Coturnix japonica: one gene and its partners. The protein of the gene in region 1 interacts with the protein of each later gene in a pairwise test. Links are inferred from orthologs where the notes say so. Each region holds a gene or a part of one and is shown in the gene's direction. Other genes may lie near its edges. The genes, in order: TRIM42, YWHAQ and KLHL38.

Region 1 (2,924 bases):
AGTAAAATGCAAAATATTTGTGTAAGGTTCTGTAATGGTAATGTGATATTGTTCCAAAATGTTAGCTGCACTTCAGCAAAATTTACTGTCAGCCTCTGGTGTTTTTGATTCTGTTCTCTCACAGTTCTCAATTTTTAGTGTCAGAAGAATAAATCATATCTTCACATAATGGCTATCAGAGGAATGTACTGTCAGATACAGTCATAATGAGATCTATGCAGTCACATTGGTTACAATTGTTTTAGCTTGCTACTGACGTGATAAAATTCAAAAAATAATACAGAACTACTATAAATCAGATTTCAGGATTTCCCATGTAATTAATTAAAAATCATCAAGCCCATTATGGGGGACGAAAAATAAGTAAGTGAAAGAACAATAATCAAGGAGCAATTAGCTACCTGACTTTCATACATCGGAATATGAAAATTTTATCCCAGTCAACTTCCCTTGGAGCTCCCTAGCAGTAGAGATGAGCAAAAAGTAGTAAATTCTCACTTGTTCCACGTTCCATCAACCCTGAAATTTCTTTAAACTACAACCTATCATTCTGTCTCTTCTAACCACTATATTTTAATATGAAGTTGAAACTACTGACCACAGGTTTGTTGTTTATTTTGTTTTGTTTTTCAGCACGCCAAGGAGTTGACAATGATCTAATGGAAATTATCCTGTTAAAAAATAATTTCCAAACATCCAAGGATCTCCAAAGGAAGGAGATCAGAAATGGATTCTTAAAACTACATACAGTGCTACACGAACAAGAAAAAGAGATGATGGAATTGCTTGAAAACATTGAACTTAAAAAGCAGAAAGACATTTCAGAATATGTAAACTATACATTCAGCCAGCTCTCATATATGGATGGCCTTATCCAATATGCTGAAGAGGCTCTTAAGGAGGAAAGTCAAGTTGTATTTCTGCAATCTGCACACTGTTTGGTGAAAGAAATAGAAGATGCAATTCCTTCCATTTTCCAGCCTAGTCCACTTATCCGAGAAGACCCCCTAAAGAAACTGCAATTCAAATTTGATGAAGTGTTTGCCATTTTACAAGGATTTTCACCATCCCTTAGTGAAACAAAACAGTTTGAAAGCAAAGCAGAAAAGTATCCCTGTTATTTTAACCCAGAAATAATGGTTCCAAGGCATGTTTCAAGCACACGTGAGGCCAAGCAATCAACGCTTCAAAGATCATCCTTAAATTCCTTGTTTGAATTGGACATGGCAATTGAAAGCACTCTTGGGAGACAAAACTCCACCCCTCCCCATCATTCTACACAGAGTAATAAATTCTGTGAATCTTGGAATGCAGCTTGTGAAACTTCAAGAAAAGAAAGGAAACATCAAGTTTACTTTTCAAGATCAGCACCTATGGAAAAAGAATCATCTGCAGTGCCAGGACCTGTTACTATATATCAAACTGTTGTTTACCCAAGGTCTGCCAAAGTAAGACATTAATGAATTCTAAATCTATGCAAATACTATTATCATTATATTTTCAGGCTCTAAGGTTCAATTTTGAAAAAATAAGACTACAATACCAAATAATTAATTTGCATAGGAGAGAGTGCATTTCAGACTTGTCCTTAAAGATAAAATGAAGTATAAACTGAGTTGCATCACTTTCCTACCATATTAAGTACAGCTGTTATAGTATTTTATATGTCATAAATATCTTACATAAAACGGTCCATTGCAAAAAGAAACAGATGTATTGTTTGTATCTAAATATCTGTGTATCAGACTAAATCATTTAATCCCTGTTCTTGGCCTTCAAATGCGATTTCGTATGTCTATGTAATTTTCCTCCTGATATATCAGAGATACTAACGAGAACAGGATGGATGCATAAGATCAAAAGAACATGTTGCAAAGAACCAACTGCTACCAGCCCTCAGTACTTCCAGTGTGTCAGAAGACAGTACGATGAAATTCACAGGAGGGTGTTTATGTCTCAACATGTATTTTACAATTAGGTTGGAATTTCAGCTACTTCGGCATCTGAAAATTAACACCTGCTAATCGGGAGCCTTTCAAAAAAGGCATAAATGAAAACTAACAAAATCAAAGAGTACATAATGGTGCACTACAGGTTTTTTTTTTCTCTTCACAGATCTACTGGACTTGTCCTGCAGAAGATGTGGATTTCTTTGAGGTAGAATTTTATGAAGTTCTTGGTATCAATCCTGATTACACTGTCCAGACACAACTGGATGGCAAGCTAAGCAAAATACAGCAGCAGAACCTTGAGATATATAATTTGGATTCAAATACAGAATATCTTTTCAAAGTACGTGCTGTCAATAAAAATGGTCAAGGAGAATGGAGTGAGAACTGTAAGGTATTACATATTCTTCCAATATTTTATAGAGTTATGTTAACGTTCTTGCCCGTAGACTTGGTTGGAGTTTTTTTTTTTCATATATTTACAAAGAATACTGCTTGAATAGAAGATTACAATACACTTACCTAGGTAAGTGATGCTGATATTACACTAGATATTTCCATATGTTGTTCATCCTATCTGTAATTGTTTGTCCTATGAAGAAGAATGCTTCTTGTTGTTTTCTAGCAGAGATTCTGTGTTATGATTACATCAGACACATAGTCATAAATAATATTATTTCATGTCTGAAACAGCCTTTATGCTAATCTCTCTGAACACATAGAACAAAAGTATGAAGAATCGGATTCAAAAAAATTTCATTCTAGAAAGAGAAGGCAATAATTAAGGGAAAGAGGAACCAAACAGAAATTAAGAATATTCCTTGACACCTTTGGCCACATTGCTCCTTTACCATGGTTTTAGAATTGAAAGAAAAGTGTTGAAAATATAGAAGTTTAAAAGTGTAGGAAGGTTTTCAAAAAGGCATCAAAAGTTGAGACCCTACTTGTTTCATAGCTTTTCCCTGATAAAATTTT
Region 2 (3,600 bases), on another chromosome or scaffold:
GATGTCAGCGCGGGTCGCTCCCCGCTCAGGGCCCCACGGCACAGCGCCATTAACTCTTCACGAGCAATTTCCTGTCACCGGGCTCCTGGGGCACAGCTCACAGAATGACCCGGGTTGGAAGGGACCTCAAGGATCATGTAGTTCCAACCCCCCTGCCTGGCAGGGCCACCAAACATACACCTTTACTAGATCAGGTTGCCCAGGGCCCCGTCCAACCTGGTCTTGAACACCTCCAAGGACGGGGCATCCACAACCTCCCTGGGCAGCCTGTTCCAGGACCTAACCACTCTCCTAGTGAAGAACTTCCCCCTAACATCCAACCTAAATCTTCCCTCTCTCTGAAATCTCTCGCCCGACCGAGCGGCGGCACAAAGGCAGCATTCCTGACAGGAGACAACGCGCCGGGAGGGCGCCGGGCAGCCCAGCCCGCAGCCCAGCCTCGGCACCACGCACTGTGTCCTCCCACAGCCGCCCTACGGAGGGGGCACCGAGCCCGCCCCGCACGGCCCCATGGCGACACAGCCAGGGAGCTAAAGCACGGGCAGCCCCCACAGCACGGGCAGCCCCCACAGCACGGGCAGCCCCCACAGCACGGGCAGCCCCCACAGCACGGGCAGCCCCCGCCGGCCGCCCCCGCCCGTTCCCGCGCCGTGTCGGTGCCGACCCACCGTGGTGGAGCGGGGGTTGGGCGGGGGGGGGGTTGTAGCAGTATCGCCATGGCGACAGTGACGTCATCTCACCCTGGATCTAATTGGAGGAAACCCCGTGGCCCCAGCCGCAGCCCACGGGCCAACCGAGCTCGCGCCCTGCCCGCGCTCGCCCCCGCGGCGGCGCGCTGCCCTCGGATTGGCCGGCGGGGAGCGGAGGGGCGGGGCCTGGCTCGCAGGAGAGGCCGCGATTGGCCGCGTGGGCGCGGGCCGAGCGGCGGGTAGGCTCGGCCGTGCCAACGCCCTTTAGCGCTGGCTCTCGCCCGCTTCGGGAGCGGCTCTTTCTCTCCGCCACATCCCGAGCGAGGCGCAGCCGATCGGGTGCGGCCCGGCCCGGCCTAGCGCAGCGCAGCGCAGCGGACTCAGGTGAGCGCGGCGTGGGCCGCTTCCCGCCGGCCGTGCCGCCGTGCCCCGCCTCGGCGCCGCGTCCTCCATTTTGTGAGCGCGGCGTGGAGCGCTCGGCGGTGCCGGGTTGCGGAACGAGCCGCCGGGCGGCGCCGCCATTTCGTACCCGCCGGGGCTTCGTCCTCCGCGCCCGGCCACGCTCGTCCCGCTCCGCCGCCCCCCGCTTCGCGGTCCCCGGGGACGAGGCCAACGCGGAGCCGCCGGGCCCCGACCCCACCCAGCGGCCGGGAATGGAGGGGCTCCGTGCCGGGGCCGGGGCCGCTCCCGCCGGGGGGATGGTCCCGCCTCGCCCCGCCGCCAGGAGGCGAAGCGGCCCGAGCTGCCCGCCCGGCCCCGCCCGGCCCCGGCGTTGTCTCCAGCCCCGCTGAGCTGCGGCCTCAGCTCCGAGCGCGCTGTTCTCCTTTCTTTCTTTTTAAATAGCTTTTTTTTCTGTTTCCTCCTTTTTCTTTGCCCTCCCCTGCGGGGTGAAGGCACGTGGGGAAGGCCCTCGGGCTGCCTGGGAGCTGGGTGTCCTGCTGTGCGGCTCCATTGAGCAGCTCTTAAGTGTGTTGGCACAGTAAGGACAAAAGCCGCTGTGGTACGTTGGTACGACTGCCCGGTGCTCGGTCCTCTGGCCGAGGGACTGTGACCCATCCCCGGCTGGGTTTCTGGGCTGTTGCTTCCCCAGGGTGGGCCCGGTACCAGTGCCTGCTTCTGCCCAAGGGAGGGACGGTGCCAGTGCTGCGCCATGGGATGTACTTGGGAATGGGGAGCTCCCTACAGTCCCAGTAAGGGGGCTGCAAGGACACCATCCACAGCGTTGGCTCCTGGAGTCACGGTTGCTGTCCTTCTCCTGGCAGGCTCTGAGGCTCGTTCTCTTGCTGGCAGAGTGACGTCCTCAGCTTCTCCTGCCTTTGCTACAACACTGCCCTCGTCCTGCCGCCGGCCACCATGGATAAGACCGAGTTGATCCAGAAAGCCAAGCTGGCGGAGCAGGCTGAGCGCTATGACGACATGGCCACCTGCATGAAGGCGGTGACGGAACAGGGGGCTGAGCTGTCCAACGAGGAGCGCAACCTGCTCTCGGTGGCCTACAAGAATGTGGTGGGGGGGCGACGCTCTGCCTGGAGGGTTATCTCCAGCATCGAGCAAAAGACAGACACCAGCGACAAGAAGATGCAGCTTATCAAGGACTATAGGGAGAAGGTGGAGTCTGAGCTCAGGTCCATCTGCACCACGGTGCTGGTGAGTGGGGCCTTTCCTTTTTCCGTGTTTTATCAAAAGAGAGAAGCGGGATGCTGCTGTTTTGAGGAGGGTGGGAAATGGGCTGGGCACTATGTGAGCTATTATGCTGGAGTGGGTAGTTCAGTAACTTTTGCAGCTGCCATATTGGTTACTTTGAGACAGAAAATCATCTGCACTTTGCTGCGGGTGCTGTATATGCAGAAGTAATCGAGGTGTGCTAAGCTGTGTTTGAGATGCACATCTGATGGAGTTACCTGTGTGCAGTACTACGCTAGCTGAGCACAGAGATGCAGGGAATTTAGGCTTGTGCTTTGGTTTGTAAGCTAATCTTCACAAGGTAAGCTGAAAAGAAAATGAAAGCCCTTTATTTCTGAAGGTTGGTGCTAGTAACCTGTTAAATGCATTTAAATTAATGGCGTTCATTTAATGTGCTGCTTCATGTGAGGAAAAACACTCTTTAAAGGCCTTAAAGAGGCATTTTTTAGATTTTCTTTCCTAGGTAATAAGGTATGATTTCATAAAGGAAGACATCTTCCTTGAAAGTAGGAAAGAAAAAGGTAGAAATCTGCTTTGTCACACTCAAGTTGATTTAGTGGGGGCTGTTAAAAGTGAATTTGCAGTTATTTTGGACTAATGCACAACTGTGGCTTGGAAACAGGATATTCCATGACAGGTATTGTGCACCTGGGCATGTTTCAAAGCCCAGCAATATATTTCCATGTGAGGAGCAGAATTCCAGATGCTGTTGATGGTGAAGCAGCATTGCAGTGCAGCAGGAGCTCCACAGACCTGTGTCAGCAACATGGGAAGTGTGCAAGCCTGTTGTGTGTGATCAGGGTCTACTGACTGCAGGAAGCTGTGTGTGTGTAGTGCAGTGCTGATGGTGTGGCATGTCATCTTCAGTGGTTAAGCTGTGTATTTTTGATGTCTAGTATTGCAAGCATGAGAAAGGAAGTGAGTAAGGAAATAAACAGTTTTTGATTTAACCCTGAATCGGGTTAGGAGACCTGAGGTTAAAGATGGCTGGTTTGGAAGTAATGGATTTTGCATCTTGAGAAGTGTTTTGGCTCATGTACAAGGGTGCTTTGGATTGTATTGAAAATACTGTGTGCTTCCTCACATGCTGCCTCCTGGATTCGTTTCTAACTGTGAGTCAGAGGCCTTCTATAAAATCACAGAATCACAGAATGACCCGGGTTGGAAGGGACCTCAAGAAACAAGCAAGTCCAACCCCCCTGCCTGGCAGGGCCACCAAACATACACC
Region 3 (3,831 bases), on another chromosome or scaffold:
TCACACTGGGAGAGATGCTGCAGCTTCCAGGAAGGCCTACACCAGCCTGATGCTGACACTGGGCCTTCTGGGCTCAACAGCCTTTGGGGCTCAACAGGCTTTTGGCCTCACTGGGCCATCAGCAGGCTCCTTAATGAACCCTCTGGGAAAGGACACGTATGGCACAGCCTGTGATGAAAGCTGCTGTTTTTAGAGCCCCAGCCCTTCTGTGTGGGCATCTGGGGTTGTAGAGGATCCCCTGGGACACATGGTGCTCAACTGATCCAAGCCCATGGGATGGATTTAGGCTCAGCATCTCAGATACCTAACAAGAGTGTACAAGACACCTACACATGACCAAGACAAATGAACACCTACAGCCCAGGAAGATTGAGTCAGAGCTGCCTGGAGGACCATCCATCTGCCCCAAAATAGGTGATGCTTGCTGGTGACCAGGATAACTCCATGGTTGTAATGACCAGAGTTCACCAGCTGCTAGGGAAGCTCAGACACCCTGTTCAGACATCTGCAGTTAGAGGGGTCTGCAATGAGAAGCCTAGGGCTCTCGGTGCAGTGATTTTTCCAGCCTGCTACCCTCACTTCAGCAAACTGCTCCAGTTTCCACTCACCTCCCTCAAAGCACTTGCCTATCCACTCTAGGTGCCATAGTCATGAGAGTTCCAGTGCATCAGGATCACCTACACACCCACCACTGCAGACCACAAAGGCAGGTGCACCCAAAACCTCTCCATCAGGTGGAGACATGGTCCATCCCTCTGGGATCCCTGCAGGCTCTGCTTTCTCCACAAAAATACGTGACAGTGCATCACCTAGCGCGAGGCGCTGCAGACTGTTTACAGGCTTCTCAAGTTCCCAGGCAATTTAGGACAGGGTCCTGTTGCTGTTTCCAAACGGACAGCCAGGACTTTTATAAGTGAACTTTCCTCTCCGTGTCTATTTATTATATGTAAACATTTGCCAGAAAAACACCAGCCGGGCATGCTCAGTACCAGCCAGGTCATTGCAAAAGGCAACGGCGGTGTCACATGTGATAACTGTGAGAAGTCCATATGTGCCTATTCTTAGCGCTGGAATGTATACAATGCCCCACCGCCTCGCGGCTCCTGCACAGAGCTCCTGAGAGCGGCAAAAGTGACTTCAGAATAAACACGTCCAGAAATCACCTTCTATGAATCACTCACCTACTGAAAGAAACGTCCTGTGGGTTTATAGTTTTTATCCAGGCTCTAGCTATGGAAAATCTCAGCAGAGAATAAGCGACAGAGAGTAAGTGCATGCAGGGAAGGACATCGGAAGGTAAACATTTCTACCGTACGATTTCACTGCAGATTAAGCGGTTAGGCATGAAATAAATACTCATCAGATTGTTCTGCCTGGCACTTAATTTAGTCATTGTGTGTCTGATTAACATAAAAAAACCACAGCTAAGCAGAGTTAATAAATAACTGTTTTAATGCAGATTCCCAGTCTCTAGGGTTTAGTTAGTCCTGCTGAAGAGTTCAGCTCTGCCAGATTTACATTCTTTGGGAATGACTAACTCTAGGGGAAAGAGATGCAAGTTACTAAACGGCTAATACTTTAAAATAGTGAATAAATGTCCAAGCGCATTTATTCGACATGATTAAAATGAACCTCCCCATTGCTTTGGCCGTTCAGCTTTCATCCCAAATCAGTGAGATAACTTCAGTGCTTTTGCTTCTTGCCAGAGTCACAGGCAATGCTGACCCTAGAGCTGCAATCTATCTGATAAATTTATAAAAATTTTAAAGGGTCTTTGTGACCTTTTAGCTTCTTTATTACTTTCCCACTGCGCTTAACCCATGTTCCATTTTTATGCATAACAGCGAATGAATATTTAGAGCAACATCAAAGTCCTGATTTGTTCCCTTGGAGCTGGATACTTCTTTAAAAGCTGCTAAGAAATTGTTTTTTTCTGCCAAGTCCAGACTTCATCTCTCTCTTTGCTATGGAGGAGCAATCTGCTGAGGAGTTTCTCTTCAAAGACCAGGACTTCTCCTCTGAACTGCTGAGGCAGCTGAATGTGCTGCGGCAGAGCGGGATGCTGACTGATGTTACCCTCTGCTCTGGGGGCTCTGAAGTTCCCTGCCACAGAAACGTGCTGGCTGCCAGCAGCCCGTACTTCAAGGCGATGTTCTGTAATAACTTCAAAGAGAGTCGCCAAGCTAAAGTCACCCTGAAGGGCATTGATGCTGAAATTTTGGACCAGATTATCCTTTACATTTACACAGGGGAGATTCTCATATCTGCTGAGAATGTCTTGTACCTATTGGAGACAGCATCCATGCTGCAGTACGCTAAGCTGTTTGAGGCCTGCTCTGCCTACCTCCAAGATAAGATGACTCCTGACAACTGTCTAAGCATGATCAGACTGGCAAAAATCTTGAACTGCCAAAGCCTGAATAAGAAAGCCAAGGCTATGGCTTTGAAATGCTTTCCTGAAGTGGCCTCTTCTGAGGACCTCAAGGATCTCTGTCCTTTGGAGCTCCTCGATTACCTGGGGGATGATGAGCTCTGTGGGGAGGAGGAGCAGGTCTTTGAGACACTGATGGTCTGGATCCGGCATGACCTCCAGGCAAGACAGCGCTACATCCAAGACTTGTTCAAGATGGTCCGGCTTCAGTACGTCCATCCAACTTTCCTTTTCCATTTCATTGCCAATGACTCTCTTGTTCAGTCTTCACCCACTTGCAGGAGCATTCTCGAGTCAGCTCGGAGACAGATGTTTTCCTTGTACAGCACCAATGCACCTGACATCAAGCCAATGGTACACGTTCCTCGCAGATACTCCAACCAAGAGTTCCTCATCATCATTGGTGGCAGGAAGGACAACCAGCAGACCACAAGGGATGTCCTGCTGTATGATGACAAGACCAACCAATGGCTAAGCCTGGCCAAACTTCCTGTACGCCTGTACAAAGCATCTGCAGTCAGCTTACACAGTAATATTTATGTGCTTGGAGGGATGCCTGTTAGCAATAAGAAAAGTCCAGTCAGCGATAATATTTACATTTACTCCCTCAAACTCAATCAGTGGAGGTTGGTTGAACCTATGCTAGTTCCACGTTATTCCCACAGAAGCTTGGCATATAAAAATTATATTTTATCATTTGGTGGTATTGGTGAAAACCAAGAAATCCTGAATTCTGTGGAAAGATATGACAGCATCTACAACACCTGCGAGAGCATGGCAAACATGCCTGTTGCTGTCCTTCACCCTGCTGTTGCTGCCAAAGACCAGAGGGTGTACCTCTTTGGGGGAGAAGACATTATGCAAAACCCCGTCCGGCTTATCCAGGTAACAGTCAGTCCTCCTTGACATAGGCAGCTTTACTTAAACAAGTCAGTGGTTCATCATCACCTTGATGAAGAAGTCAGTTCCAAAACTAAACTTCATTATGAGTTGCAGCAACAGGCAGGATGAGTTGACACATTGCTTCAAATAAGTCTTGTCTCCAAGGAGCATTGTAGTTCTTTCATTTTCTCCACTAAATATTTTTCAGACATAAGGCCTGAGGCCCTTCCTCTGGCGCTGGCTCTGTCACATGAGAATTTCATATAGAGGTCTTGGGAGCTCCCATGGATGCTGCAATGGCAGGCAGTAACTGACCCCATGGCCACCTCCACATCTGCAACCGCTCACCCAAATCAGTGCTTGCTGTTTGGCCAGCCTGCAGCTAAGCTGGGGTCTCAGCTGTGCATCTGTTCCCTTGCAGTGATAGCAAAGATGTCAGTTTGAGATCATTAGAGCAATTAGACTCTCACTCATCAAAAGGCCAAAGCTTAAACTGACAGTTATTTCACATAAACAGT

What was found.
Region 2: the proteins of TRIM42 (region 1) and YWHAQ interact in binary tests that used the Homo sapiens proteins (3 or more experiments, as listed by UniProt). The two-hybrid records come from large-scale screens. The link is inferred for Coturnix japonica from reciprocal best matches to the Homo sapiens genes TRIM42 and YWHAQ.
Region 3: the proteins of TRIM42 (region 1) and KLHL38 interact in binary tests that used the Homo sapiens proteins (3 or more experiments, as listed by UniProt). The two-hybrid records come from large-scale screens. The link is inferred for Coturnix japonica from reciprocal best matches to the Homo sapiens genes TRIM42 and KLHL38.

Annotation. Positions count from the first base shown.
Region 1 is NC_029524.1:5,104,836-5,107,759, forward strand, and holds part of TRIM42 (tripartite motif-containing protein 42), read left to right. Parts: intron 1-633; coding exon 634-1,448; intron 1,449-2,115; coding exon 2,116-2,343; intron 2,344-2,924.
Region 2 is NC_029518.1:87,879,033-87,882,632, reverse strand, and holds the start of YWHAQ (14-3-3 protein theta), read left to right. Parts: upstream 1-921; 5' UTR 922-1,073; intron 1,074-1,951; 5' UTR 1,952-2,042; coding exon 2,043-2,336; intron 2,337-3,600. UniProt on the Homo sapiens protein: Adapter protein implicated in the regulation of a large spectrum of both general and specialized signaling pathways. Binds to a large number of partners, usually by recognition of a phosphoserine or phosphothreonine motif.
Region 3 is NC_029517.1:124,496,492-124,500,322, reverse strand, and holds the start of KLHL38 (kelch-like protein 38), read left to right. Parts: upstream 1-1,047; 5' UTR 1,048-1,274; coding exon 1,275-1,296; intron 1,297-1,844; exon of another isoform or gene 1,845-1,946; coding exon 1,947-3,316; intron 3,317-3,831.